Tamandua tetradactyla: one gene and its partners. The protein of the gene in region 4 purifies or fractionates together with the protein of the main gene of each other region. This does not show direct contact. Links are inferred from orthologs where the notes say so. Each region holds a gene or a part of one and is shown on either strand. Other genes may lie near its edges.

What was found.
Region 1: the proteins of INAVA (region 4) and CYTH3 purify together in Homo sapiens (co-immunoprecipitation; 3 studies listed by BioGRID and IntAct, counting the BioPlex papers as one, with this or other methods). This does not show direct contact. The link is inferred for Tamandua tetradactyla from reciprocal best matches to the Homo sapiens genes INAVA and CYTH3.
Region 2: the proteins of INAVA (region 4) and CEP170 purify together in Homo sapiens (co-immunoprecipitation; 3 studies listed by BioGRID and IntAct, counting the BioPlex papers as one, with this or other methods). This does not show direct contact. The link is inferred for Tamandua tetradactyla from reciprocal best matches to the Homo sapiens genes INAVA and CEP170.
Region 3: the proteins of INAVA (region 4) and CYTH1 purify together in Homo sapiens (co-immunoprecipitation; 3 studies listed by BioGRID and IntAct, counting the BioPlex papers as one, with this or other methods). This does not show direct contact. The link is inferred for Tamandua tetradactyla from reciprocal best matches to the Homo sapiens genes INAVA and CYTH1.

Annotation. Positions count from the first base shown.
Region 1 is NC_135349.1:5,669,759-5,677,159, forward strand, and holds the start of CYTH3 (cytohesin-3), read left to right. Parts: upstream 1-4,368; 5' UTR 4,369-4,502; coding exon of another isoform or gene 4,503-4,506; coding exon 4,507-4,549; intron 4,550-5,512; exon of another isoform or gene 5,513-6,117; intron 6,118-7,393; exon of another isoform or gene 7,394-7,401. UniProt on the Homo sapiens protein: Promotes guanine-nucleotide exchange on ARF1 and ARF6. Promotes the activation of ARF factors through replacement of GDP with GTP. Plays a role in the epithelial polarization.
Region 2 is NC_135333.1:14,520,172-14,527,706, reverse strand, and holds the start of CEP170 (centrosomal protein of 170 kDa), read left to right. Parts: upstream 1-4,524; 5' UTR 4,525-5,362; exon of another isoform or gene 5,363-5,501; intron 5,502-7,535. Other genes in the region: SDCCAG8 (serologically defined colon cancer antigen 8), read right to left, coding at 4,167-4,233.
Region 3 is NC_135332.1:71,097,731-71,106,020, reverse strand, and holds the start of CYTH1 (cytohesin-1), read left to right. Parts: upstream 1-5,102; 5' UTR 5,103-5,721; coding exon 5,722-5,749; intron 5,750-8,290. UniProt on the Homo sapiens protein: Promotes guanine-nucleotide exchange on ARF1, ARF5 and ARF6. Promotes the activation of ARF factors through replacement of GDP with GTP.
Region 4 is NC_135330.1:57,986,126-57,993,537, reverse strand, and holds the start of INAVA (innate immunity activator protein), read right to left. Parts: upstream 3,344-7,412; 5' UTR 3,329-3,343; coding exon 3,168-3,328; intron 1-3,167. UniProt on the Homo sapiens protein: Expressed in peripheral macrophages and intestinal myeloid-derived cells, is required for optimal PRR (pattern recognition receptor)-induced signaling, cytokine secretion, and bacterial clearance.

The DNA of each region.
Region 1 (7,401 bases), on a different chromosome or scaffold from region 4:
GGTGGTTTAACTTCATTTTTCCAAGTTTACCACTAAAGGAACTTGTGCTTGCAAAAAGGCAAGTTGCTAATCAATCTAAAAGGAATGAACCTGCCCTTGGTAAGGGGAGGCCAGGGAGCCGGTGTCAAGAGGGCGGATTCCAGGGAAACCGAGTGCAAGGCAAGCCACATGGAACGAATGGAAGGGGAGCCTCCGCACACATTGGGGATCAGAAGATCTGGGCGTTTGAAAATCGAATGAGCTCTGACCCGAGGCTTGGACCTCTGCTATTTGTCTGGGTGGAGTGGAGACTGCCAATCTGCACAAGCTCATCTCCACTCTGATGAGATGCTTTCTTTCCTAGATGAAATTAGATTTCGGAAAATATGACGTTCCTTTCGTGACCGTGAGCTGAGAGCAAGCAGGCGGCTCTGTGTGCCTTCCCCCGAGTGGACCAGACCTCTGAGCAGATGTGACAGATTAGCTGAGGTTCCCATCTGCTGAAGGTCACTGCCGTGTCTGCATTGCTTGACCGTTATCGAAGGAGACAGGAACTGCTCTGTGCACGGTCTGGGAGCAGCCGTAGCTCATGCAGCCCGGACGGCCTCTTTCTGGCCAAGCACAAGGAAACTGGCCTTGGCAGGGTTTTGCCTATGGTGGCCCTTAGTCCTGGGAGAGGAGACTTCTGTACGATTTCACGGACGTCCGCTTGAATGAGGGAGATGAACGTGCAAACGAGAAGTCTTTTTCACCTTTCTCAGAATGTGCACATTGAAGGTTTCTTAAACTATTTCTGCAACAGTCAGAGGGCTGATAAATGGGTTTCAACATGCTTTCAAAAGGTCTCTCACTTTTGATTGCCTTGTTAGTCCAGCAGCTGCCACTAACACTGTTGTTTCTCCCTTTTCTGACCTGGGTAGTCCCTGCAGTGGGTGGCAGAGACAAATTAAACACAGGCCACAGTCTCTGTCTTCCCCAAGGAGCTGCAAAAGTGCAAAGCTGAAACACACGGAACAGGCAATACTCGGAACAGGCAATACTGTGAGAAAGTCTTGTGGGTAAGGTAGGGTAGGGTATCAAAAATTACAATGAAACAATTATTTGTGAATTATTTGCTTAATGACTGGTGCTTCTGGGCCTGGCCATAAGTCTCATGAGGGTATGGAATGATCTGTCTTTTTATTGTCATATTCCCAGCACCTAGGACAGTGCCTGGGATATAGAAATGACCTAAATATTTATTGTCTGATTGAAGGGTCCCAATGAGGTTTGAGGTTCAATACTTGTTATCTTGGAGAGATGTCTGTTGCATAAATTGTTTCCCTTAAAGATTCACTTATAAAGAGTTCAACCTCCGAGTAAACCACTCATAAGCCAGACATAAAGTGATGGCCTAATCTTAGCGGACAAATCAGGATTCTTAGTGTTCCTATGTGTGGGGCAGCGTGCATGTAAGCAGATTGGATTTGTGCTGGGATTTGAGAGAGACCAGGAAGCACCTTTCCTTAAAAAAAAAAATCTCATTTTCCCATTAGATATTATTTTCTTTGGTTGTGCAGGGTCTAAAGTCTTCTAAGTGCCCCTCCCTGTAGTTAGATGTATAAATGACACCCTAAGACTTTATTCCCCCTACATTTTTACAGGCTTTATTGAAATGGGGCCCAGATTTAACTAAAGGGATAATATAATATTCTACTTACAAATAAATGGGCTATGCCTTATTTTGATACCAATTAGATTAGATGGAGAGGGCGACATTATTTACAGGGACTTAGTAAGATCAAGGCAAAGGCCTGGGCTTCTCTGGGTCCAAGGACATGGTAGCTGAGAGGCACTTTTGGCAGAAAAGGGCAGCTGCTTGTAGCTTAGGGAGGAGTGAGCTAAATCCTGTGTTCTTAAATCTTGAACTTTAATTTAAATCAGAATTTTCTGCATCTGTTTCTTTTCCTTTAAATTTACTGTATTGAGGGAATGAACATATATATATATGTAACATAAAATTTGCCATTTTAACCTTTTTTTTTACCAACATTTGCATTTTTTCGAAAATTTGTTACAATCGATGGTCACAGTTTTTTGCAATTACTATTTTTAAACTTTTTTATTGTATGGTATAACATATATACAAAGCAAAGAAATAAAAAAGTAAGTTTTCAAAGCACTCTTCAACAAGTGGTTAAGAGTGGTTAAGAGCCACAGTTCATCACGGGCTACCATATGGTCCTCTCATATTTTTCCTTCTAGCTGCTCCAGAATATAGGAGGCTAGAGGGCTTAAATATTTTTTTATCATCACAGTCGACTTTTTTTCCTTTTTTTTTTGTGAAAAATAACATGTATATGAAAAAGGTATAAATTTCAAAGCACAGCACCACAATTAGTTGTAGAACATATTTCAGACTTTGACATGGATTACTATTTTAGCCATTTTTAAGTTGTATACTCCAATGGCAATATATTTACAATGTTATGCAACCATTGCCATCATCCATTACCAAAACATTTTCATCACCCCAAAGAGAAACTCCGCACCTATTAAGGAATGACTCTCTGCTGCCCTCCATCTCCCTGGCCCAGGTCAATTATTTATATTTCCATTGCTATGAATTTGCGCTTTCTGGATATTTCATACAAGTGAAGTCATACAATATTTGTCCTTCTGTGTCTGGCTCATTTCACTCAAAACAATGTCTTCAAGGTTCACCCCTTGTATAGCAGTATCAGAACTTCATTCCTTTTATGGACGATTGTGCCTGTTTCTTGAGCCAATTATTAACTTTTTACAGTGGTCATGGTTGGATGAATTCTTTCCAGAAAGGAGACAAGACCAAAAAGGGAATCTTTAGGTATCTTCATTGATGCTGTGTTCTGGAGGTCAAGAAACGTTTGTTTGCTTGGAAGTGTTTGGCATAACTGTCAAGAATTCCACAATTGGAATGGAATAATTCAAACTCTGTGAGAAGCATCTATGGATCACACGCCAAGGGACCTAAGGAATTAGGGACTGACATTGACAAGCATTTATAATTGACAGTACTTTTGAGTTCAAAACTCCACATATCACCCTATCATATTATCCAGTTCAAAATATGCTGTCATTTCCCCCCGGTCACTGTGTAGTTATCTCTAAGATAAAGCTGACAGGAACAAGATCAGGAAGCCAAGTTTGTGGGCTGAGTCTTGAACCTAAGTCTTTTGACTCCCTTTTCTGTTACACATTTGTCACATAAACTGCCAAATATCTTATCTGCACCCAGAAGTGTCCCCGAGGGCTTTAGAAATGGAATGCACGTGCTTAATTCTTGAAATTTTCGGGAAATTCAACTCTAACTTCTGGAATCATCCCAGGATCTCCAGCAAACGGTCCATTTTAATAGACGACAGTGGAAAAGGGATCCTTGGATTCAATGAGTCATTTGTGAGGATAAACAGTTACAGGAAAATTTTATTAGGTAGACTCCATCTCCTCCATTACAGTGTTTGCTTTTCTTTAATGCAATTAAGCTCATGCAAAATGAACAGAAAGGCCTGGGTGGGGCCCACACCCAATGCTGCGGGGGAGCAGGGGCAGTAATTAGGAACGTGAAAGATGTGGAGCAGAGACAAGCTGCGGTCTTCTTCCTAGGAGACCAGTGCTTAGGACCCTGGCTGTGCCCCCGGGGGGAAAGTGAATTGAGAGCTCTCTCTCTCATCTCTGTGCGTCTGCATCATAAATCCAGGGCAGCTGGCAGCTTTTCAAGGCAGACTAGAGCTAAACTCCAAGGGCATCTGAGGCTGAACTGGCCAACCTCGTACAGTGCCCGCGCAGGGCTGGGCACAGGTGTGCCCGCTCGGGTTCCCACCTAGCGACAGCGTTCATTCACAAGCCTTACACGCTGTTCATGTGAAAGTGTACGCTGATCCCCAGGAAGGGAGAAGAGGCTCCATTACGCATCAGAGAGCCGAAAAGGCTGCGATGATCCTGAAGGCCGGGGAGACCTAAACTCTCCTGGGCCGCAGGTCGAGGGTCTGACTTGCGAGCACTTGCCTCACCTGGTCTTTTTCCCCGCCTGCACGTGCAAAGAGGACGCCCCCCCCCCCCCCCCGGCCACGGGGATTTGCAGAATGGGGCATTGCTGCGTCTCGGACCCCACATCTGTGCGTAGGTCGCCTAAGGCGGGGAGGCGCGTCTCGATGCCTGGTTCGCCCTGGAGGACCCCCACAAGCCAGAGCGGAGGCGAAGGCGCCCGGGCGGCGGGCCCACGCGGACTGGGCTGCGGGCTCGGGCGGGTTCCCGGGGGCGGGGCCGCGCCGTCTGCAGCCCCGCCCACCGCACCCGGGGGCGGGCCCCTCGGCGTCACGTGACGGCGGTGGCGGCGGCGGCGGGCGGCGCCGAGCGCGAGCGCCCAGCCCGGCCCGAGGAGGCTCCGGGCCGCGACCCCGCAGCCTTCTACGCGCGCTCCGGACCGGCGGTTCCCCCCCTCCGCCATCTGCACCGCGCGCCCCGCCGGCCCGGGGCTCGCCGGCTGCGGGAGTCACGTCAGGATGGATGAAGACGGCGGCGGCGAGGGCGGCGGCGGTGAGTGCCGGAGGTGTGGCCCGCCCGGCCGGCGGCCTGGGGCTGAGGGTCTGGGACGGGCCCGGCGGCGGCGGCGGCGGCTGGGGTCCGGGGTCGGCCTGAGGAAACAGGGCCGGGGGCAGCGCGGGGCCGGCTGGAGACCGCCCGAGGCCCGCGACGCGCCGGGCCCGGAGCCCGAGCCGGGGGGTGGGGGGCGCCGGGGAGGAGCCGGCTGGTGTCGCCGCCGAACCCGAGCGGGGGTCCCGGTGCGGGGCCGCCGGGGAGGCTCGGGCCGGGGCTGCCGGGTGGCTGTTTTGGGGCGCGGGGCCCCCGGCGCGCGACCTTCCCCGCATCCCCTCGCCAAGGGCGTCCACGCCCTCCGGAGCACCCCCCTTTCTGCCTCATTTCTCGGGGAGGCCGGAGGGGGACCGAGTCCACGGGGAACGGGCAGGAGGAAAGTTTCCAGTTGGGGACCCTCCCTGGGAAAAGAGGGGAGGGGGCTAGAGGACTACAAGGAATGACAGTTTTCTTGGCTTTGGGGTCAGACGCGGCCGCTGGAATTGCTTGAGGAGGGGGCAGCGAGGGGACAGGTCTGGACAGGCGTTTTGTGAAACCGTGACCGGTACCGAGTCGGCAATAGAAGGAGTCGCCTGGGCTGGGGGTCGGAGTGACGAGCCGCGGCGGGCAGCCGAGGGCGGGACCCGGGAAGCCTTTTCGGGCGCCTCGGGCGGGGAGGAGAGCGTCCCCGAAGCGGGTCGGGTTGGGGTGGGCACGGCCATGGGGTCTGCGTCCGAGGCTCACGGGCCTGGTGCTGGAAGGCTCTCATGTGTTTGAGATTATCTCGGTGGAATGCAACGCTCAGTCGTGTCGGGGCACGGGCTGCTGCGAATTGCGAGTCTGCGCAGGGGGTGGGTTCTTGTTTTGGCAGGCAAAGGGTTAATGTTCCTTTTATTTTATTTTTATTTTTTTCCGGAACACCCGGAGTTGCGATCCTCTATACTTTTGCTAAAGAGTACCTTTTTTTTTTTTTTTTTAATTTAACTGGCTGACCGAAGTTATCCGAACTCCTTGTAATAAGGAGGCGTTTTGAAAAATCCTAATTACAGGCTGCTCAGCGGTTGCCTGTAAGAATCAGCTGCATCGGATGCTTCGGGATGAAGTGGTTTAATCAAGGTGCCTTCTAGAACTTGAGTGCTCCCGGGAGGGAATTGGTTTTTTTTTTTTTTTGCAGAAAGAAGCAGTGCGGCGGCGGTGGTGGGAAGTTGGCACGAGTGGTGGCATTTGGAGAGTTGGGTTCTCCGCGTGAAAGCGAGGGCCGGCTCTGTGACACCAAGTGGGTGTGTTGTTTATGAAAGAAAGTGTTGTGGAAAGAAGGAGCCCCGTTGCAAAGCCTCCTCCAGCCAGGCTGGCTGCCTGAAGACAGGATCCGGAGCGAAGGATTCCCTGTGGGTGCAGTCTGCCTGTCACAATGTGAATAACCCCGCAGGCAGAGCAGGTTTTCCTTCTCAGAAAGTAGACAGAACGACCGTGATGTTTAAACCTTTGACATTTTCGAGTCCGGGAAGCTGGCTTGGCGATTTTGTTTGCAATTTGCTTTGGACTCTGAGTAAAGAAATGTTGAAGAATTAATTTAGCATTTTTTGAAATACTTAGCTTTAAAATTTGTGTTTTTAAAATAAAGTTCAGCCCTTTGAAAGATAATTTCAGTTATCAGTCAACTGTCAGACAATTGTGATTGTAAAAGACAACATTTTTTGCATATTTTTAGAGTACGATACACAACCTAGAACAGTATTGGGGGTGTCAGTTTCAGCTTTGTTTAAAAAAATAATCTAGTCAAATAGCTGTTATTGCAGAGGCCAAAGACAATTTAAAAGGTCTTTGTGAACGTGTTGGTCAGATTTAAAAGACTCCAAAATTTGATTCCTGCTTACTGCTTTTATAATTTAATTTTTGCCCAGGATGTATTTATTATATGTTCTTTCAATGCAAGATAAGGAGAGAGGATGGTGATATGAATGGTTGGAGTGCAGTTATAAGGAGGAACAAGTGGGGGCTGCGAGATTACAGGAACGCATTGTTAAGTATAACGTGTGCAGAGCATAGTTAAGGCATTTTTAGTTCCTTTGGGACTCGCCTTTCAGTTTTAACAGAACAATTCTTGAGATATGTCTCTACTAGGAAGGTGACTGGCTGGTTTGGCAAGGAGCCACCATCTTAATGACCAGTTTTGGAATATGCTTGAAGTTCCTAATGGACCATCCAGGGCAGGTGCTGTTAAATGACCTTGCTGCCTCCCACCTCATTAATGTAGATAAGAGTCAAGTTTGTGCCTCACTTGAAAAGATGTTCAGCTTCCCTCATTATGAGATAAATATAAATTAAAGCTGTATTGAGTCCCGCCTTTCACCTATCAGGCAGTGCCCCCCTTCCCCCTGGTCTGCAAACTGCCCGCTTGCGAGGCAGTCTCGTTGCTGGTGGAGGTGTAAGTTTGTTTCAGCTTTTTGTGGAAGCAGCTTTGGCCTCTATCCTTTTGGCCTTCAGGTCGTGCCTTGCCCTTCTCCCAGGAGGAGGGTAGGCTGCATTTCCCGGACCTGGGGTAGCTGGCTTCGGCCGAGTCTGGCCGGAGGGAGCCCCCTGAGAGGTTGGGTGGCAGGAGGAAGGGAGAGGCTGGGTTATTTTTCGTGTCCCCTCCTTCAGCCTCAGACAGCGGCTCTGGCAGGTGCCTTGCTTCTTTCCTGGCTCCAGCTCCCACTACCAGGTCCTCTGTGTTTCCATTTCTGCCCAGCGACCCTAACCCCCAACCTTGGAAATCTCCTCCCCTTTACAGGTGGTAGCAGCGTCTTGCTATTGCTAATCTCTGGGTTGTCTGTCTCACCATTTCCT
Region 2 (7,535 bases), on a different chromosome or scaffold from region 4:
ATCATTATTGGCTAGTAAGAGTAACACAGCCCTTCTACAGATGTTAGCACTATCCTGTTTGGAGAAAAACACTTTGCAGGATCTAGAGATATATGCCAATCGTATACAAGTAAAATGTAGAACATCAATATCATCCTTCATTTTCTCAAACTATATTGACTTACAAAGCATCATCTCCTAAATTACATATTTTCTTCCCATATTCACCCCCCCCCCCACTTTCCATGTACCTAGTTTGACACTTTAATCACATTTTCATAAGGTAGAAACACAGCCTTTATCATCCACATGGCTCAACCTAGTGTTGATGGAAGCGACATTAGCGATCCAGGTGTCAGAGAGTGGTGCACAAGGCTGAACCTAGCATTCAGATGTGTTTTGTTTGGCCAGTAGAGCATAGAAGGGAGAGGAGAAGAGAAAAAAGGCAAGGATGGAAGAAGGAAGGAAAAAGAAAGAAACTGGAATATTTTTGGGAAAAGCATACACTCCCAGTTTAGACAGAAGCCTCACCATTTCCCACTGTCTTCCACTGATTCCAACATACACTTTATCTTCTGCTTGGCTCCTAAAGCATTAATTCCCACATTTAGTCCAAATTTGAACTAGCAAGTTCTCTCCTTCTATCTAATATCATATCTCCACATTTAAGGAAATACAAATCCAAGACCTTGCCTATGAACACACAGATGGTTATCAGCAAAGCAACAGAAAGGCTTATGTGGCTTAGTTCCACATTCTCTCCCACACCCCCTCCCCCATCCTAACTCTAAACATGCTCTTCCCACAAAGTCAATCTAGTCACCAAAATGTTGAAAGAAAAGAGAGTCTCAACTTAAAAAATGTATATATAAAAAAAGTATGTGGTCCTTTCATATTGCAAGTAGTTTCATTTTTCTTTATGTCTACCAAACCAAAGGTGACTAGAAACTAGGTGAAGAGGTGAGTCATGTTTATGGGGTTTTTTTTGTATGCTCCCATTATTGCAGCACCATATACTGATTTTTTATATTGAATTTTTGTTTGTTTGTTTGTTTTGCTTGTTTGTTTCCTGGGAAGTGCATGAACTGGGAATGGAACCATGGTCTCGCAGTTGGCAGGCGAGAATTCTACCACTGAACTATCCTTGTACCCCGATATGCCCACTTTTGACCACACTGGAAACTTTCAGATTACCTACTATGTAGGAATAATATTGCAGATCTGTGGGGCAATCACGTCTTCCAGTGTTTCTGCCATAATTCTTATTTTAAAGAAGCATCATTATGCCTCTCCAATTTCTTGCAGATGGTGCATAGGCAACCCAAAGCAGGAGATATCTTTTGAGAGCACAAAATACAATGAATATATCTGAAAAGTGAAGTGTAGAGAAAGGATGAGAGGTGACTGTAGGGTCTAGAGCTGAGCATACTATTTTTGTGGCTGCTCCAAGATCATCAGAGTGGAAGAGAGGCAAAAATTCCACTCCAAGTTTTAAAGCAAGAAAGTGAACTTTGTTTTTCACATCAGAGCTTTAAATTCTTAATTTACTATAGCAGAATCAAAATTTTTTAAAGTAAAGAAATGAGGAAATTAGAAAATGGAGGGACAATCACTTAAAACTGTGAAAGTATTTTGAATTTTTATATGGCAACTTCCTGGGTGAATATAAATAAATAGGTATTAGTAATGCTTACATGTTACAGTTCTTTGTAACCAGAGGAATAATTTGTGACGAAAGACCAAGAATGTTTATTACTCTTCCTTTAAGCATGAACTAGGCAAAGTATCTTCAGGGAGTAATGGTGGATATACAAAATCCAAATGAATCAACAAAAAGGAAAATAAAAATCAAGACCAAATAACTTTAAATTGCATTTAATCTGATCTAGATGGATACAGTTCTCAAATTATTAGGCATAAGCACTAAAATAATTCATATACAATAACTCTACCACACTTTGTTAATTCAGGGATACAAATTTCTACTTTAAAGGGAATTAATCTATTCTAAAGTATTGATTCATATTTGTGAAGTGAAGAACTTCTGATTGTGCTTAAGTTCAGTATTAGTTCTATTTTGTCACTCTCTCAAAGTTTTTATATAAGCTAACATACATTAAAAAGCAACGAAATAATAAAATAAGACCGGAAAACCCACAAAAAGTATCAGGTTCCACTTTTGACTCGTTGTTGAAACTATGCTCAAAACATTTCAAAAATGCTTTAACTTTACTCTCTTTTTTATGTTTGACCTTAATTAAAATTTTTCAATACCTTATCATAGTTATCACACTAAATTAAATGACTTTAAATTTTTTTTTTTTTTTAACATGGACAGGCACCGGGAATCGAACCCGGGTCCTCTGGCATCACAGGCAAGCATTCCTGCCTGCTGAGCCACCGTGGCCCGCCCAATGACTTTAAAATTTATTCTCTGTGAATGAAAACTATTCTGTAAGCAGTATCACTGGTATTAAACACATTAATACAACATTAGCTTATAATTAACCCCTTTACCATATCAAAATGCCTAATATTAAATTGTTTCCAAAGCTGACATTAAGGTTCAAAGGGAGAAACTTATAATGGAGAACAAAAATTTTCAGCAGCCTCAAAAATTAAACAAAAACCACACATATTATCATTACAAACAGTATTTTTCCTGCTTTCAAATGAAAAGTTTTAAGTGGTTTATTTCTGTATCTAATACCTCTTGAAATATCAGTAGTGAAGGTATTCATTAAGATGAATTCTTTTACTTCCGTAGTTTGAATATTAAGAAAGTTGACAGTTGTAAAACTGTTGACAGATATAAAGAGCAAATAACCCTTAAAAAGTCTAGAGTCAGTAGAAGATAATCATTCCAATCTCCTAAAAAAATCTTTACTTTGTTGCCAATACAAAGTATAAACAGCAGCTGACATTTAATGAATGCTTCTTATGTACCACGTTGATCCCATCATAGTAATGTGTAAGTATTTTACTTATTGCCTTTCTCTTTCACTGATCTAGAAACTACATAGGAACATTGTCCTTGCTTGTGTTGTTCCTTATTAAATCTCCAGCACCTAGCACACCTAACACATAGTAGGCACTGAATTAGTATTTGCTGCATAATTGAGTTAATGTTCTTAATGCTTTCAATTAGCTTTCAGCAAACTGTGGTTCACGACATAGAGAACTACAAAAATGAACAACAGAAAATAGGGTGATTATATGTAGTAGAATAATTTTTCTTCAGTGAGCTATTGTTCTAGTTATTTATGCATATATTCCATATGAAATATATTTCTTACTATGGGTTATGATAAAAAGAAAAATGTTAAAAAGGACTTTTTGACGTGGGTTTCATTTGCTCCTTACAATGACCCTGTATACAGTACTCTAACTTCTATGTCAAAATTACACAACTGAGTTTTCTAGAGTTTATGTAAGTTGTACAAGATGACAGAACCATCTGACACAAATACAACCATCACTTCCATAGATACTCACTAACAAGATATTGACCTAACAAGTGAATAAAGTTTCAGTTATAGTAACTGTGATAGGATTAATACACTTATTAATGTAGGTTTTGAAAGCAGATTCACACGTATTCAATATCTGGTTCTGCTACTAATCACCCGTGTGGCCTTTTGCATATAAAACCTGAATCTCGATTTCCCAAGTGTAAAATAGGGGTAATCAGTAGGTTGTTGCAAGTTTTAAATGCACTCGTGTTCTTCAAAAACCTAGACAACTAAATAGAAGGTTCTGTGATTAAAACAATTATGTGTTTCCCCACTCCATCCCGGCAAATAAATCACTTTCAGTCCACTATATCGGAATTTGAATGTGTAAAAAATGTGAATCAGGAAAGCACAGGATTAAAAAGCAAAGTATGAGAATTGGGCAAGAGTGGCATAAAACTTTCCAACAGTTTCTGTGGGCATTGGTTAAGAAAAATGGTCAACTCAAGATCAGGCAGTTTGTTGAGGTTACTAACGGGAATCAAGGAAACAACGCTGCTTAAATGTAAAAACAAAACAAAACTCTTTCATCCTTCCTCAAGGATCACGGCAACATCCATCTTCTTCTTCTGCAGCCTGGCTGGGGCCGAACAGAGGTGTTAGGAAAAACGCACCTGGTCATCCACGAGGCCCTGGGTACCAAGGGGCTAGGAGCAGAGATTCGGAGCAACTCACCCCGGAGACTCCGTTGATAGTGCCCCAAAATCTCCTCCAGGGCAGAGTTCCCCGGGGACACGGCCATGCACGGACCGAAGGCCCAGAGATGGGAACTACGTGGGGAAGTGTCCAGAGAACAACAGGCCTAGCGCCTAGAGAGCACCCGCCCTCTTCCTGCCGCGGCTGTCACTGTGGAGCGTGGAACCCAGTATGGAGCTCCTGGAGGCTCTTCCCACCCAATGGCCCTTACGGTGGACTTCGGGAGTTGCAGTCCCCAGGCTCTCGACCTGAAACTTCGAGGCACCTGAGAGCTCCTCCACAGACACTACAATTCCCAGAGGGCACCGCGCTCGGAGCTCAAACTTCGGCAGTTTGGCTGCAATAGTCCGTTGCCAAGAGACACCTCAGAGGCTCCGCCCGTTTCCTCCTGCCCAGCCTGGTTTAGTCCCGCTTTCATCTCATCCTTCCGCTGCTTGGACCACTTAACTGACGGAAAGAGCCCCCTGAAGGCCTCGACTGTTCGAAATGTTATACTATGCAGTTGACCCCTGAGGCTTCTCAGTACGCAAGTGAAAAGCTCGGGATTCTGTTTTGACCGCAACGTTGTAATAACGACCACATAAATTCTTAAGGAAAAGAAACTCTAGACCTACCGACCAGCCTATGTTGTGAAGGCGGCCGATACTACAAATCCTAGCATGCCCAGCGACCCGGCCTCCTCTTGGAGTTGGCGCACTGCCCGCAGGGAGCTGTAGTCCTTGTTGGTTGCGGTCCAAGCTACTGATAGGGTCCTCTTTATTGTTCAAGCCGCTCTTTATACCACGCCTGCGCAGTGGGCAGCAGCAAAAGCGTGTGGGTGAGACCCTCAGTTCAACGCCTTTTCATTGTCTCATTTTCGCGCTTGCGCAGAACTAAACTGTTGGGCCAGAGCAGGCGGAGGGAACAGGGCCCGGCCCTGCGCCCTTTCCCGTGGCGCCTGCGCACTAGGCTGCCGCTCTTTGCCGTTACCGCTATGTGTGAGGCGTGTGTAGAATAACGTTATTGCCCAGAGGAGCTGAGGGGCCCGGAGTTAAACTGCAGCGGCAGCATCGACGACGACAGCGACGACGACGACGACGACGACGAGGGGGTGGGGGGAGGACGGCGTGCTTAGAGACTCACGGGACGCGACGCGCCCCGCCTCCCCCGTCCGGTCCCTCTCCCAGCGGTGAGGGGTAAGTGATGCTGTCGGCTGCTTGGGTTAGGCGTTGCTGGTACAGCTACTGCCGCTGCTTTTACACATCCTTTTCCTGGAGAGCCTTGGGTTTGCGGCGGGGACTCGGGTTGCGAGGCCGGGAAGCGAGGGGGTCGCTTCCCGGAATCTCCGCGCGGCGCCGCGGCCGCCGCCGCCGCCACCCCCACCCTGGGGCTCGGCGGGGCCGCCCGTCCCATCCCCCACCCGAGCTCGCGTGGTTCCCCATCTCCTGTCCCTCCAGTCCAGTAGCCAACCTGGCCTTGCCCAGCCTCTTTTCCTCTGACTCTTTCCCTAGATGTATAGAATCGTTTTCAGCTCCCTCTCGGGCTTTGTGCAACCTTCCCCCCACACACCCCCCCGCCGCCTTAGCAGTGTGCGAGGGGCGCGAGCGGAGGAGGATCGGAGGGAATGGCCACGCTGCCTCCGGAGAAGGGGTTTTTCCCAGCCCGCGCCCCTCATCTGAGCGGCTAACAGTGCCGATCCTTTTTATTGGTTTTGGGGAGTGAGGCGACTGGGGGAGGTGGTGCGAGGTTGGACGCGGTTGACGGGCATGGAAGACGTGGTGTCACGCACCCTGGCAGGCGACTGCACTCCGCGTAGGTTCTGGCCCCGTGGTAAACCCTGGGGCGGAGAGAGGGGCTTCCTGTCGCCTTCATTGTCCTAACATTCGAATGTAGGCCTCTGGTATGGTTTTCTTCATTTTATGCAAAGGAAAAAAAAAAGATTACCAGTTGCCTAAAACAGGGCGGGAAGATTTGGGATTTGTATTCTCAGTCACGTAATCTGTTTCTGGTGTACAGTAGAGTGTTATTTATTTATTTGAAGACTGTAAGCTTCTGGAAGACAGGGTCTGTGCTTAGTGGAACCAAGCCCTGTAAAGGTGGTCAGTGTGTAAGATTGCTAGACAACGATGAAGACTGGGCTAGGAAGGCCCTGACAATGAAGCTTTTGTGTGGCAGGGAAATGAACCAGCAGAATTGTTTTTTCATTGGGTGGGTAATGCGTTCGTATTCTTAAGGGAAGGCATTAGAATAGATCTTTACGTCGTTTTGTTTTCTAAAAGCAATCAAATCAAAACAAAAAATAACCCTTGTATATTTTAATTTCTGAAGTGGTTACTCATAGTTTAATTCTTGTAATGAAAACTCAACTAAATTGGGAGGAATTTGATAAAGCAGATGATTGAAAATTTTTAAATGATCTGATTCTTACACTTACAGTGTTTACTGTAAGCACTCGCTGGCATTTGTAGTTACAGCAAGCAGAAGAGAGAATGAAGTAGGATGAGGAAAGAAGCAAGTGGAAGAAAAATGACATTGTAGGAGTTATATTCTGAATACAATTTCTAGATCTCTCCACTGATATAATCCAAGCTGGGTCTGCTTCAAAGATTTAGGAATACACCTCTGGAAATATTACACAATGAATAGCAAATTATACAACCATTTTGTAATTTTCTGCCATCATATTAAAAAAAAATGAAACCATGCTTTTGGTTCTTTCTAACTTCATAGATATTGTAGAAATTTTTGTGTTTTAAAACTGGAGAGTCTAAGTACTTTTGTCAGAGGAAGAAACTGAAACTTGAAAATTTACCTGACTTTTCCAACCAAGCCAAACTGCTAAATGAAGGCAGAGCCAAATATTACAAGGCTCTGATTTGCCTCCTCCTGAGGTCTGTACCCCTAGTCCTCCTACCCTGTGAAAAAGTATGGAAAGCTTTTCTCTGTGTGCTGTTTGAGTTGTGAGGATAAAGTTCATTAATAGTTCAGTTGTATTAATCTTGTCCTTTTCCTCGTGATGTTAAGGTGGTAATCCTACTAAAATAGAAATTTTATAAAGTAAATTACTGGTATAGGGAAAACTGCCCTAATGTGGGCTTTTCATAAAGATAGGAATCGTTGGAATTCTTTTCTCTCCTACTTAATAGTGACCATATTTTAAATTATTTCTTGGTATTCAGTAATGTTTTGTAGTATGACCAACTCTGTAATTTGTTAAAAATAAAATTGCCACATAATAGAAGCTTATCAAGTTCATTTTTCTTCAGTTAATGAATTCTATTTTCGATTTAGACTACAGTTCACCTTTTGAGAAAAATTCATGTTACACTACCTTTCAAAATTAGCGTTTTTTATTGGATTTGGTTTGCT
Region 3 (8,290 bases), on a different chromosome or scaffold from region 4:
AGTGGCAAACAATAAGTCATTCACAGAAAGACAGATGTCCACACCAAATAAACATACCAAAAGTTACCAGACATTACTGGTAATCAGAAGTATAGATATTAAAATACTATTTTTTACCTCTTTTAGTTGGCAAATATTTTAAATGGTAATACTTGCTGGATGAAACCGTGGTGAGGCCACCATTTTGAAACACAGCTGGTGAAACAAATTATCACTTTAGAAATCTATTTCATAGCATGTATAATGAGCCTTAAAAGAGTTTACTTATTTTGACTCATAAATACCCTTCTGGGAGTTAATCAGGAAGTCATCAGAGACGGGCACAGAGGCCAAGGCCCATGGATGCTGCAGCATCAGAGATGATATGGCGACAGATAAATGTCCACAGCCATTAAAATACTGATCTGTCCAATTCTGATCCAACATGTTTGGTTTCTTTGTAGCTTCCCCCTGTCCATATTTCCCTTTTCTGACAGGAATAAACTTGGTTCCCATTTTTTTCAGGCTTGGTGCCCTCTAGTTACACTTCCTTCCCTGTGGATTCCACCTGCAGCCTCCTTTGCCCGTTGGATTGAGCAGGAGTAGAGAGAGGGTGGAAGGAGAGAGAGGGCAAGGTGTCTTCTCTCTAGCTCCTCCCTACCAGGTCGCTGAGGGTCCGTAGAACCCAAAGCTCCAGCCAGGCGACCTGCATTCAGCTGCCCTCTGCCAAGGAGCCGGAGACCTTGGAGACCTTGGCCTGTGCCAGCCTGGGAAGCCTCCTCGCTGCTCACTGGTTTCCGTCCCTCTTGTTGACAGTCCTTTCTTACAGCCTGTCCAGTTCCCATGCTGAGTGTACCTTTGTCCCTTGAGATTATGAATAACAGCAGGTATCCCACTAAAGAGAATCTTTCCCTGAAACATTACATAAATATTTATGTAAATTTTCTTCTAAAGTAAGATCAAGCCATTAAATATTTGAATATTCTTACCTTACCATCACCAGATGGGGTGAAGCTCAGTAAAGGATTAAGGCAATTTGAGGCATTAATTGAAAATGTAAAATGATATTTTATGTCTTGAGTCCAAACACCTGCATCAGAATTCCCTGATTCATGATTTTTAGCCTGAACAGATATAGTGTTTTCTTCTACTTTGTTGTTTTAGTGATGATTATGGGGTCCAGCCAGCCCTCACTCTACTGTCTCATTTAGCCAAACCCCATTCTTTCTCAGGCCTGCATCTGTATCATCATTCTCTTCTGTAATGCTCCATTGTTCTTCCAAATGGTTGTTGAATTTTCTGTACTTTACATTTGAATAAGTACACTGACCTTCCTCTCACAGTCTTGGTATGATAGTTTGTTGCATTTTAGGGGCAGGGCAGGGCAGCGGAATGCCTCAGTTGGCCCAGGATGGCCCCGGGTCCTACCCACTGTCTGAGGAGTTACTACCAGCACCAGCTGCAGACATGAAAATGTCCCTGTGTGGATAGTAAAGTATGTAGCCATTCTCTTTATGAGTGAGTTGATTATATAATTGGGCATGTCAGTAGTTAAATTTCTTCATTAAGGAATTTGAAACATGTATTTTCATTCATTGCTTCATTTTTTAACAATGTTATTTGTTGCGCTAGATTTAGCAAATGCCATGTGATATCGGGCCAGGTATGCCCTACCATGCTGTCAGCTTCGGGGCGGCTGCCTGACCCCCACACCCAGAAGCGGCACAAACCTGTTCTGAAGGCATGGGAAGCTAAGAGCATGGCAGCTCCATTCTTCTTGCCCAGGCCAGAGGGCTTGGAGTCATCCTGGATTTCTTTCTTTCGCACTCTTCATGGAAATCTACCAGCAAGTCTTTGGCTCTTCCACAAGCATAAATACAGCCAGAGCCTAGGCAGTCATTGTCGAAGCTCCCTTGGCACAGCTGTCAGGGCCTCCCAGCTGGGCTCCTGGCTCTAGCCCTTACTCCCCCACCATTTGCTCTTATCCACCAGTGAGCACAGTGTTGTTACAGAGGAGGGCAAGGCACTGCACTTTCCTTGGAAGCCTGGCACTGGCTCCTCATCTCACCTGGGGTAGGCATTTGATTCCTGGAAATGGCCTCTCAGGCCTTGTTCAGGCCTCCCCACTCTGGCCTTACCCCTGCTCCAGCTCCTGGCCTCCTTGCTGTTCCCAGAGAGGTCTGTCCTGACAGTGCCCCTGGCCCTAGTGCTGCGGTGTTTACCACCTGACATACTGCACATTGACTAATTTGCTTGCCTGCTTCACCCGTCTCCCTATAGAGTATAAATGCCACGAGGGTAGGTATTTTTATGTTTACTTCTCTGGTGCAGCACCCATGCCTGGTAGTTACTGCTGAATAAAAATGTGTTTGAGGGCCATGGTGGCTCAGCAGGTAGAGTTCTGGCCTGCCATGCTGGGGACCCAGGTTCGATTCCCAGTGCTTGCCCATGTAAAAAAATAATAATAATAATAAAATAAATAAATTCCCCTTTAAAAAAAAACAACTGAGGGGGGACTCTCTGCGTGGGACATGACTCCCAGGGGTGTGGACCTTCCTGGCAACATGGGACAGAGATCCTGGAATGAGTTGAGACTCAGCATCAAGGGACTGAGAAAAACCCTAGAATGAGCTAAGAATTAACATCAAGGGATTGAGATAAACTTCTCGACCAAAAGGGGGAAGAGTAAAATGAGACAGTGTCAATGGCTGAGAGATTCCAGAGTCGAGAGGTTATCCTGGAGGTTATTCTTACGCATTAAGTAGATATCACCTTGTTGTTCAAGATGTAGTGGAGAGGCTGGAGGGAATTGCCTGAAAATGTAGTGCTGAATTCCAGTAGCCATGTTTCTTGATGATGATCGAACAATGATATAGCTTTCACAATGAGACTCTGTGAATGTGAAAACCTTATGTCTGATGCTCCCTCTAGCTACTATATCAACAGAAGAGTAGAACATATGGAATAAAAATAAATAATAGGGGGAACAAATGTTAAAATAAATTCAGTTTGAAATAGTGGTAAATGAAAGCAAGGGGTAAGGGGTATGGTATGTATAGTCTTTTTTCCTCTATTATCATTTTATTTCTTTTTCTGTTGTCTTTTTATTTCTTTTTCTAAATCGATGCAAATGTACTAAGAAATGATGAATATGCAACTATGTGATGATACTAAGAATTACTGATTGTATATGTAGAATGGAATGATACCTAAATGTTTTGTTTGTTAATTTTTTTAATTAATAAAAAAAGTTAAAAAAAATGTGTTTGAGTGAAAAGAATTGAAGTTTAAGATTCTAGATTTGATTATAACAAGATAGAAACTTCTGTATAACAAAAGATACCACAACTAAAGTTAATATTAAGTAACAGATTGTGATAAAATAATTGCAACATCTAATACAGAGGATTAGTAATCTACAAGTTGATAAGAAAAAAAGACAGTTGATAGAAGAATGAGCAAAGGATGTGGACAGGCAGTTCACAGGAGAGGGAATACACAAATTTACGGCAAGATCACCTGCATCACTGCTAATCAGATGGTAAATGCAAACTGGAAACAATAAGAAGACATCATTTTCCACATATCAGACTGGCAGGAATTAAGTTTGATGCTGCCTGAGCTTGGGAAGCTGTAGGAAAATGGCAGGTGCTTTGGCAGTGTCCACTAAAGCTGGACTTGTCTAGATGTGATGACCTAGCCATTTTGCCTTTGGGTGTCAGCTCCAGAGAAATACTCTCCCATTTGACAGCAGGTAGAGTGTAGAAATGACCTGTCTTCTTGAAAGTTAGGATCATCCTCAGAGAATCAGACCTGGCACCAGAAGATGGGAAGTGCTGATTTGGGAATCATTAAACTCTTAGGTTTTGAAATGGACTGATACTGGGATTCCTTGTGGATGGAGGTCAGAAAGGAGAAGATTTAACTGTTTTTTTGACGTTCTAAGTCAAAGGGTAAAAGGCTGAATTTGTTAGTTGACTCTACAGAAAAAGTATTTAAAAATATATATATGTTTATATTTATTTAACTATTATTAGGCAAGACAGAAAAGGGTGGGATGAGTCTCTGCCCCGTGATGCATCAGCACCTGTGGTCGCCTTCAAATTATGATTGGTGACTCTCCATCTTGCTGTTAGCCTGTGTGTTTCCAGCTCTTTAACAAGTACCAGGGCAAAGGACAGCAGGTTCAGGCTCCCCACCAAAGAGTACAGGCACCTGCGATGCCAACCAAGGCCTAGTGGAGGGGGGTGTTGGCGGACCAGAAGTGAGCATCATGCAGCTGGTCAGTTCTACAGCCAGCAGCCTTCTTTGGACTTTGGCTGAGCCATATAACTTTTGGGATTTCAGTGTCCTTGTCCGTGAATGGACATGAAGACAACACTTGCCTCGCAGAGGTGCATTCAGGAGTAGGTGGGTTAGGCCATGTCAGACTGGGTTCAAAGGAACCCCTCGTAAACAGGACCTCTAATGCAGAGGCATTAGGCACACTTGTTCTCCTTTTATTTGCCACTTGCGAGTATGAATATCTAAGTGAAGAACCAGAATATCATGGAAACTATATCTGTATCCAGCAACTCTACTCCTAAGAATTTTTGTTAAGAAAATAAAGAGATTTTTTGTGCACATGGGTGTTTATTGCAGTGCTGAGAGTGGCAGTAAAATTGGAAACTACTTAAAAGTCTTAAATTAAGGGATTGCCTATTATGTTTATATGGTAAAATACTAAAAGCATGGTTGATGTTCAGTTAGTTGTGGAAAATGTTAGTAAAAATGGTGTTATAAACAGCATGTAGAGTATCTCATTTTTGTTGCAAACAATATATATACAGAGTGAGAACACACACAAATGAAAGTGAACAAGTCTGGGAGGCTGACTCCCCATATGTCATCATCAGTTATCTCTGGATGGTGGGATTGTGTTTTCTTATTATAATGCTTTCTCAATTTTCAATAGTGAACATGTATCATATAATAAGGGTGTGCTGAAAAGATTTTGGGGTAGCACATTAGAAAACAGAATGGTGTTAAAACCGAGTTTATATTGAGAATTTTGCCCTTGAATATTTTTTTTCTCTCTAAAACCTGCCTTCTGCTTTTATTTATTTATTTATTTATTTATCTATTTTACATGGGCAGGCACTGGGAAACGAATCCAGGTCTCCAGCACGGAGGAGAGAACTCTACCACTGAGCCACCGTGGCCCGCCCTGCCTTCTGCTTTTAGCCTGTGACCTCATAACGTGCTGTAATGATTAAGATTTCTTAGTCATTCTCTTAGGAAATGAGCTATCATCCCATGAGACAATCAGGGATTTCAAAGTCCGTTCTGAGAAAGTACTGGAAAGGGGAGAGGAAAGCTGCAGTCGGTGCTGCCGGTGCCACCACTGTAGACGAGCCGAATCTGAGGAAGGCGGGGAAGGGCAGCCTGCCTCCCGCTAAGACCGCCTTGGGAGGGAGGTGGCCCCTGGGCGGGAAGGTGCTCAGCCTGTCTTCAGGAACTGGGTGGTGACCAGGGACTGGGCGGGACGCTCCCTGTGAGCTGGAGGCCGATTGGTCCAGGAGAGCAGCCAGCGATTCCCCTTCAGTTCAGGAAGCAGCACCGAGGTGTCTGGTGGCCAGATAGCCCCACGGGCGCCTCTGGAACCCCTTGACCAACCCTCACGGGAAACTTTGCTCTGACTTGCAGTTCTCCTCTGAAGGACAAGCCTCGTGGGCCTGTAGGGTGCTGCTGTGACAGAGCAAGATGGTTCTTAAAACCCAAGAGGAGGAGGGTAAGGCCAGGTCGCAGCGGGCTGGGATGGAGGCGGCCTCGGGTGTAGGCAGTGTGCTTTCTCTCTGACTCGTGCGTGGAACTAGACCGACAGTTTTACGGGGCCTTTTAGGGGAGGAGCTAAAGACTGATCCACACTCTGGTTTTTATCGTGCTGTTTTCAGGAGAAAGACTGGATAATGAGTTAGTGGTTAGTGAGTTAGTGTGTGTTGGTCCTAGTGCTGGTGGTGGGGAGTGGGTAAAGTAACTGTGTTTTTAAACCAAAGGAAGCTTTTTGTTCCGCTCCACCCCCCAGTCTTTGTCGTTGTTGGGGTCTGGTGACTTCCTGGTGACTTCCTTCTTGGTGACTGTGCCTGTCCTGGGCAGGCCTGGGCTGAATCTGAGTGACAGTCAGAACCCCTGAGAGCTCCAAGAACACCCAGGGGTGAGTCAGTGCTCAAAGGTAGATGTGATAGACCGGCACCAGTGAGGTTCAGGATCAATCATACTCATTTTTAATTTTTTTATTAAATAAAGTGTGATGAAGGGAAAATGCATAGTTTGATTTTCCTCTTTGGTTAAGACTGTTTGAAGCCTTATGGAGTTGATGGACTTCCCCCACATTCTTCACACGCACTCCATAAAAAGTGAGGCTCTGAACAATGGGACCGTAAATCCCATTTATGGGATTTTTTTTTTTGCACAGGCAGGCGCTGGGAAGTGAACCCAGGTCTCCGGCATGGCAGGTGAGAAGTCTGCCTGATGAGCTACCGTGGCCTGCCCCATTTATGGGATTCTAAGTCCCAAAAAACTCTTAAGAAGAACTGTGTCTGACAGCATCCTAGGTTAGGGCTTTCAAACTTTCTGAAGCCATAGGAGTTTTGTGTGTGGATTTGTGTGCATTCTCTTGTGATGCTTTCATCACGTGGTGGTATTTCAAGGCTGTAAGTCAAAACAGCAAGATGATCTTAGCTAGTAAAGAATAATGTGAATCACATTTGAAATAAATCTTAGTAAATATTAGGCTGCATTTTGAAGTGGGTTTTATTAAAATTATAATAAATTTTGGTGGTTCTCTTTATGCTTTTCCTTATCTAATTCACTGTAAGTCATGTATTTTGGAGTTTCATGAACTCTGTGCAGATTGTCTTGGAGAATATCCATGGGGCAGCTTGGAAACTGTATCATCTATGAAAGACTTTGGGAGAGAGGGACATATAGGTGCCTGTCATGCTTTTGCACTTGAAGAGGGGGCAGTAACGAGAGACAATTCTGGGTAAGAGTTGAACTGCCCACTTGGGAGTTTTTGGGTCTGAAAGGTGGGACCACACTTGCTGTCTGCAGCTCAGGGGGATTTGGGAGTGGAAGGGGACACAGTGTGTACTAGGACAGAGCCTCTGGCCACTGTACTGCGACTCTTTCTTACGCAGACCCACCGAGTCCAGGCTGAGAGCCACTGCGGGGTCTAAGCCAGAGGGGTTTGGCCCCAGTTATCCCAGAGGCTGTAAAATCCAAGATGATCTGCCCTCATGTGCGTGCTGGGTTAAATGGTGGCAGTGCTGATTTTTGGGCCAGGAATTTTAGAGATCGGAAATAGGAGTAACAAGCAATTTTGCTCTGAATAAGTCACCTTAAAGAGTTGGTGGTTCTCTCTTTCTGTTCCTCATCCAGGAATTATCCCTCCATGTTGGCTGTTTGGAACAGTGCAGAGGGCAGAACTGCCTTGTTAACCACTGCCCACATAGGTACCTCAGGTGTGATGAGATGTAGAAACGGTAGTTGGGTAGCTGTTAAAGTCAGAGGAACAGTTGGAGTTTGCACTGGCAGTTCCCCAAGATCCCAGGGGAGGAGGGAAGTTAAGCGTCAGCATTATGCTTCCAACAAAGCTGCTTTTACTAGTTTTAGTACCTGAAGAACATGCCTCATTAAGGATCACTGGGGACGTGAAAATCTTCTTGACTGTGGTCAGATCCTTTCCTGCTGTACTAATCTCAGATCCACAGCCTATACAATAAAAGTGTTGCTTTTGCCCCCATCCCCCTTTCCTGGCACCTATGGCGGTCACCTTATATTCCAGTATCATGTATGTATAAGTGGGAGTTAACCAGTGTGAGTAATTTGGCACTGTTTCTATAACTGACGTTAAGTGGTTTGTTTACGATTTTGTTTCATCTTTTTAATGTTTAGTCCCCCTTAATTTGCCTTTGAGCCCTCTCTTGGGAAGAGGGATTTAGGCTCTGTGATGTGGGACAAGAGGCCCTTCGCAAGCAGCTGCCAAGCTCTGTTTCTGGTGCCCACCCAGTTCTGGGTGCACCTGGGCCCTCGTCACCTGATTACTTACTGGCCCCCAACCCTTGTTTGGTGTTTGCCATCCTCTCTGCTTGGAATCTGTTTGGGGCTCCATTCATCCTTCCTGGTCGGCACCACTGTCCTTCCTGCAAATGCGTGTTCACATACTTTCCTTCCTACAAGTCCTCATGTTCCGTGCTGAGAAGGGACTGGATCTATTTAAATCTCAGCTCCAGGCACAGGCTGAACAGATGGCAGGTGCTCGGTACCTGCT
Region 4 (7,412 bases):
CGCTGCCGGCCGTCCCACTCCTCCCGCCACCCGCCGCCGGCCTCCCTCCCAGGCTGCCGGGCCAGGGGAACCAGGTTACTTGTTGTGACTTGAGTCAGAGGGGAGGAGCAGGTGAGCAACTACTTCCCTGAACTAATCCCGTGGTGGCAACAGCCGGCACCCAGCTCCTGGGCCTCTGCACTTCCGGGGGCAGAGCAGAGAGCAAGGAGCAAGGGGTTCCTGATGGAGGCACCTAGGAGACAGAGGGGTCATGTCTACACCGACGCTGAGCTGTGAGGTGCCCAGGTGCCCTCTCGCCTGCCCCTGGCTCTCCCTGCCTCGGATGTTCACCGCCCTCCTTGGACCTCAGTTTCTCTTTCCAGAAATTGAGGCATGTACCTCCCCCCAGAAGCAGCGTGAAGGTTCACTTATCCATGGGAATGCCAGCAAGGAATTTCCAAACTAACAGGGTCAAATCATCACTCTTCCCCATACCCTGAAATGGGGAACAAGGCTTGAAATGGGAATACAGAAACCTCAGGCAAGGAGCAAACCCGCGAGGAGGCCCTAGGGGCCTAGAGAGAGCCAGCTTGTTCTCGATTTTCATTCCGGATAACAAGACCATCATTTCCCCGTTGATTGGGTACATCCACTCCCCGGCACAGTTTATGGGGCGCTAATCCGAACCTCAGTCTTGACCCTTATGCAACAGTAGGCTCTGAACAGCAATCCCAGGCTCTGAACCACCTCCCCCCCCACACATATGGGGCCACAGGCAGAAATGGAACTTGTTCCCTATAAAAACATAAGCCCCCAGACTCCCCCTTCCCTCGACCCTTGAGCAAACCCAAAATTGGAATCCAGCCTACTTCACAGAAGGAAGCGGGGCGAGGTGGCCAGTTGCCTGACCCCAGGAGGCTGAAAACACAAAGATGCTTGGGACTAAGGACTGTGCCCCACCCCCCAGGACTTCATCTCACCATCTCCCTTCCCCCAACCCCCCAATCCTCCCACCCCCCACTACAACAAATCCTGGATGGCTTCCCCTCCCCCAGCCCCTAAAGATCCCCACCCCCATTCCCCAACCCCCAGTGGGGGATGATGACGTCTGCTCCCACAGAGCATCTCCGTCGGTGCAGAATTCGGTGTCACAGACACAGCTCTGACCTGCCCCTCCCCTCGGCCAGCACCTCCCACTCCCCACTCCACCCCTGCCCCCTGAACACCTCCGCATTCCTGCACACACCCTCTTTTCAAACAGTGTTAGTCCCAGGGTTCTCGACATTGACCACCTCCTCCCTCAGCCCCAGGCTGAGGCCAAAGGGCCCTAATGGACGAGAGGCCCTTCCTGGCGGCAGGGAACAGGTCCAGGGTGTCCCCAAAAGCCAGCAGCCCTTCCCTTCCCCCTGCGCTCCACAGCACAACAGTCCCCCCCTCCCTTCATAGGCTTCCAAGGTCAGACAGAGAAGGGTAGACTTCTTTTCCACACCTTGCCCATCCCCCAGCTACAGGTGGGGAGGGGGACGGATGATGGAAGTTTCTAGAGTCAGTGCATAGCATATTTTTCAAAGCATAAAATGAAAGTTATAGAGAATCACTAAGAGAACCAATTACTTTGAAATACAGTTCTAGAAATAGAACATAGTAACATATGCTTCTTTATTAACATTAAAAAGGGTCTAGCAGCGGCTCTACTAATAACAATTTCATAGACACGATCACTGTAAACAATATTTCGAGATAATCTGCGGCAAGTGTGATGTCATATGAAAAATACCTGCGATTTCTATCAGTGGCAAAGTCACAGGTACTGCTAATGCTACTGCAGTTTGGTGCCTTTATGACGGGAGGCAATACTAAATTTCTAGTTACAGGTGAGAAACAAAAGACATTTTCCTCCTAACTCTGAATCCTAGCCATAGATATCTTTGGTGCTATCAACCCATTTCAGGACCAAGAACCAGTCTTAAGTGATCCCCTATCTCTGAGCTCAGGGGAGAGAAGTACAGATGTTCAATCTGTTTGCACTGATCTTCTGGAATTTTGAATGACACCCTCATTCCTCCAAATTCACACCCAGTATTTCCCAATCCAGCAAAATAAGATGTTTGGAATGGGCCAGGGACCTCAACCCTCTCACCAAGGACCCCGGGATCTAGCGGACGACCCTAGTCATCCAACCCCAAATACCATGAGCGGGGCACGTGGCTGAGGGGTCCAGCTGGGGGGTTGCGGCTTAGAGCCCCACTGCCACCCAGTCTAAGGATAAGAGGAGGAACCCTCCAGCCCCAAGCCCCAGACCATCAGCACCAGGACCAGCCGATGAGGAAGTGGGGTTTCCTTGTACAACATTATATTCTTGGACTCTGAACTTTGGAGATTAGAGTCCTCCCCCAGAAAGAGGAAAAACTACTTCTCTTTAGGGTTTTCATTTCCCAAGGAAAAGTTCTGAATCAGAAAACTCTCCCACAGCCCTGTAGCCATCCTCTCTCTCTCCTTCCTTCTCTAAGCTTCTTCTGATACACTAGATTGGAAGTTCTTCAAAGCAAGTGCCCTTCCTACCATTACCACATTCCCGATAGCATCTCTGATACTCTTAAAATTTTACTTAATGAATTAATGAATCAATGGTTACACTTCCAGAGTTATGAGTAGAAAAAGAAAGTAGGGAAATGGCCCAGGATCTCCAGGCAATGGGATCAGGGAGCGGAACGGTTCTTTAACTTGCTCGCTTTCTCCACTCTTTGCCCACGGGGAAAGGTGCTTGCCTCCACCAAGCGATGGTGGAGTGGGCTGGGACAGGGGAATTCCATGCTAGTCTGGAATGCATCCTGAAATCAGACCTCTAAGGCTTTCTTTAAAAAGCCCCTTTGTCCTGTCCACCCTCCTCCCCTCCCCCATCGCGCCCTCCACATCCAGGCCGGCCCCAGACTTCGCTCCTTTTGTTTGGCTGCTTTTTGGCTTCCCGGAACCTGGCCAGAGGATCCACAGGCACGGGGAAAGCTGAAGAAGGAAAGGTTGAGGGTTTGGAAATACGCATTTTCGAGAGGAACTCTGAATTCTCATTTCCTTGGGAAAATCACCCCATTCCCTGTCGGACCCCCTTCACTAAGACCGAAGATGGTGAGTTCAGGGGCTTGGGTCCTCCAATTCACCCCCTTTGGCCACCCCTAAGTTTTCCCCCTTACCTGTCCCATGGAGCTCTGGCGCCGCCCGCTTGCCCCCGCGCCCCCCGTTCCCGCCTCGCAGCTTCAAGACTTGTTTGTCCAGGCCATCGTCCCTCTCCCCGAGTTTCTCCCCGACCTTCCCTCCCCGGAGGTATTTCATTTAACTTCGGCATTTGCAGCATCCCAAATGTTAAAGATCCCAAGACATCTGTCCCCTGGGGCATACCAAGACCCGGAGGAAAGAGGGGAAAGATGGAAGAAAGGATTCGAAATTCCGATCCCAAAGCGGTCTGTGGCCGCATGTTGGGGTGGGAAGGCGCAGAAGGGGAGGCCACCCTGTGGCAGCACCAGCTCCAAGGGCAGGGCTGTCCCTCTGCTCTGGCTTTTGGACGCCCGCGTGGCGGGACACCCCCCGCGCTGCCAGTTTCCGCAGCCCAGGTCGGGGGGAGGCTCCTTTCTCCGTCCCGGTGCCTCCGTTCACGCGCGCTCTGGGCTGCTGGAGACTGCTTTCATTCCAGGAGACCCCAGGGTGAAAGAATGTAAGGAGCCGGGCAGGAGGGCGCCGCGTTCTCCCCCCACAGGCGCCTCTCCCCTTTTTTGCCAGCCCCTCTTCTCCCTTGCTGTGCACCACAGCTGGTCGCTGAGCCACAAGTGGGCTGCTCCAACCAGGAACTCTTCTCCCCTCCCTTTCTGCACCCCCCACACGCACACTTCAGACCCCCAGCCCCATTACTCCTGGCTGAACTAGGGCTGGTAAGAGGAAAGAAGGAGCCTATTCCAGGTGAGCACCTCCTACTCCTTATTGTGAGCCAAGATGTCCTTGTCAATCCATTCATTCACTTACTCGCACTTTATCGTGGGTTCTAGTAAGCACTTACTGAGCAGCTACTAGCGCCCAGCACTGTGGATGAAAGTTTAAGCCCCTTCTCTGGAAGATTCCCCATCTACATAAGTAATCAAGCCAGCAATGGCATCAGTGAACTGCTAGAAAGCAGGTCCTGGAGAGGGGCGCTGATGCAGATTTAAGATCTGTAAAGCCTGGCCCCAGTGGGCAGTACAAGGACGTACAAAATCATAATGACAAAGAGCACAGAGGAAACACAACATATCAAAACTCGTGGGATGTAGCAAAGATAGCATTGAGAGAGAAATTAATAAATCTAAATGCTTACATTAAAAAAGAAGAAAGATTTCAAATCACACACTTAACCTCACAACTGGAGGAACTAGAAAAAGAGCAAACTAAATCCAAAGCAAGAAGGACAGAAATAAAAAAGATTAGTGCAGAGATAAATGAGATGGGAAAAAAACAACGATAGAATCAACAAATTCAAAAGTTGGTTCTTTGAAAAGATCAATAAAATTGATGAACTTAGACTGACAAAGAAAAGAAGAGAAGGACACAAATAACTAAAATAAGAAAGGGGACATTACTACCTACCCCACAGAAATAAAAAGGATTATAAGAGGATACTATGAACAACTGCGTGCCAAATAATTAGATAACTTAGATAAAATGGACAAATCCCTAGAACACACAATAGAAAGGGGTGCATGGGTAGTTCAGTGGTAGAACTCTCACCTGCCATGCAGAAGATCCAGGTTCAGCTCCTGTCCCATGAACCACCCACCCAACCCCAAAAAAGAAGAAATAGATCTCATCAGGCCAATAACAAGTAAAAAAGATGAAACCAGTCATCAAAAACCTTCCCCAAAACACTGATTAACATTAGAAATATAAATTAGTTCTTGCAAGAATTACTTCAAAGGTATGATTCCTGTACAAAGAGTGCTTAAATCCAGGGTACAGGGGAAAACTGCTAGTGCATGCTATGGAGTGTGTTTAAAAGGAAACCATCAGCACTACCACAGCAACAGCAGAGGTAAATAATGGGGGGAGGAGCAAGAGTTAAAAGGAGGTTTAGATTTTCTATTTGGGGAGGATATGTTTATTGGTTTTCTTTCTCTTGGGAACAATGAAATTATCTAAAATGGAGAGCATTAATGAACTGTGGACTTTGGGCCCTATACCTGGTCCCTGATGAATGCAGGTTGCTGAAGGATGCACTTGCTGAGAAGTAGATTGGCAAATGATGGTGTATACTTATGAACGAATGTTGTGCTACTACAAAAAAGGAATGAAGTCATGAGGCAAGCAACAATGTGAATGAACGTGTGGGATATTTGGTGAGGCAAAAGAAACCAGAAACAAAAGAACAAGAATGGTATGGTCTATTTAGAGAATGCTTAAAAGAAAACAGAGGCCTAGATTGTAAGCTTTTATAGCAGACATATTTAGTTTGGAAGGGTAATTATTATTTCTGGATTTTGAGAGGCTGTTTTTATATGTACATACATATATATATATATATATATATATATATATACATCCTGATATTTAGAGATAAAATGAAGCCAATCAGGTTGGTGTTGAAGTAATTCAGAACACAGGGTAAGGAAGACAGTGTCTATGTTTTAGAACTACACATACTCTTTGAGACGAAAGCAAGAAAAGTTTATTGGGTCTGAAACCGAAATTTTCTGTAGCACATAATCTAACTCAACCTATCTGTATAGCTCATTTAAACAGCTGAAACACAGGAAGCCCAGAATAAGAAAGAGGTCCTTTAATCCTGTATAGCTTAATATAATATCTGGATACATCCTAGAGTATATTAAGCAGATAATCAAAAAGTATTGGCAAAGTCCCTTGAGGGATGGGAGAAAATATATAGAACTATTAAACTTTACCATCAGTATGTATGAGTTTTGTTTCTGTTTTCTTTTTATTTCTTTTTATGAATTGATGCAGATGTCCTAAGAAATGATCATGATGATGATTATACAACTATGTGATAATATTGTGAGTTATTGATTATATATCAAGAATGGAATGATCATGTGGAAAGAATGTTTGTGTTTGTATGTGGTTGTGTTTAATAAATAAATAAACTTTACCATCAGGAAATCCCATGATACTGTGTCAAACCATAGGGAAATCTAAATCAATAGTCCATGCCCTTGATCTTGAGTCTTACTGTTATGAAGCTTATGTAGGTAGCAGAGAAGCTTAGCCTACTTAAAGGTATGCTTAAGAGTTACTTCTGGAGGACCTCTGTTGTTACTCAGATGTGGCCTCAGTCTCTCTAAGCCCAACTCTGCAAGTGAAATCATTGCCCTCCCCCTTACGTGGGACATGACATCCAGGGCTGAAAGTCTCCTTGGCGACGTGGAAGATGACTCCCAGGGATGAATCCAGACCTGGCACCATGGGATCAACAATTCCATCCTGACCAAAAGGGGAGAAAGAAGTGCAATTAATACAGTATTAGTGACAGAGAGAGTTCAAATAGAGGCAAGAGCCTACTCTGGAGGTTGCTCTTATGCAAGCTTCAGTTAGACCTTGCTACCTATCATAACCTGCCAACCCCCAACCAGGACCATTCCAGCCAATCCTGAAGGCAATATATAAGATTCTACAAGAGTACCATGTACTAGAGTAACTTTCCAGAAACCTGTACCCTCCAGATGGGTCCCTGGTCCAGATAAGTCCTGAAACCTAGCCCAGCCTCTCCAGAACATCAGATAGTTCCATCTCCCTACCCCATATTAGTGACAGACCCTTCCAATATGAAAAATCTAGAATTGCCATAGCCCAAACACCCCTAAGGAGAGGGATGGAAAGATAAAAGGTGATGGTGGAGTTATGCAGAGAAGATGGGATTTAACGAATGAATATGAATGCTGAATTATTAAATTGATATCTCTTTTAGTCTCCACTATTTTAGAGCAGCTAGAAGTAAAAACCTAAAATTGTGAAATTGTAACCCATGTCAAAGTCTGAAATACGTTGTACAACTAATTGTGGTACTGTGCTTTGAAATTTGTAGCTTTTTTGTATGGATGTTATTGTTCACAAAAAAAGAAGGAAAAAAGTTGATTGTGATGATAAAAAAAGTATTTAAGCCCTGTAGCCTCCTATATTCTGGGGCAGCTAGAAGGAAAAATATGAGACGATCATATGGTAGCCCATGACAAACTCTGGGATCTGTCCTGTAACTACTTGTTAAAGAGTGCTTTGAAAACTATTCCTTTTTTCATTTCTTTGCCGTGTGTATATGTTATACTATACAGTAAAAAAAAAAATTAAAAAAAAACAGGAATGAGCAAAAATTGAAGACTTAACTGCTTACCTGGAGAAATTAGAGAAAGAACAGCAAACTAAGCCCAAAGCAAATAAAAGAAGAGAAATAACAAAGATTAAAT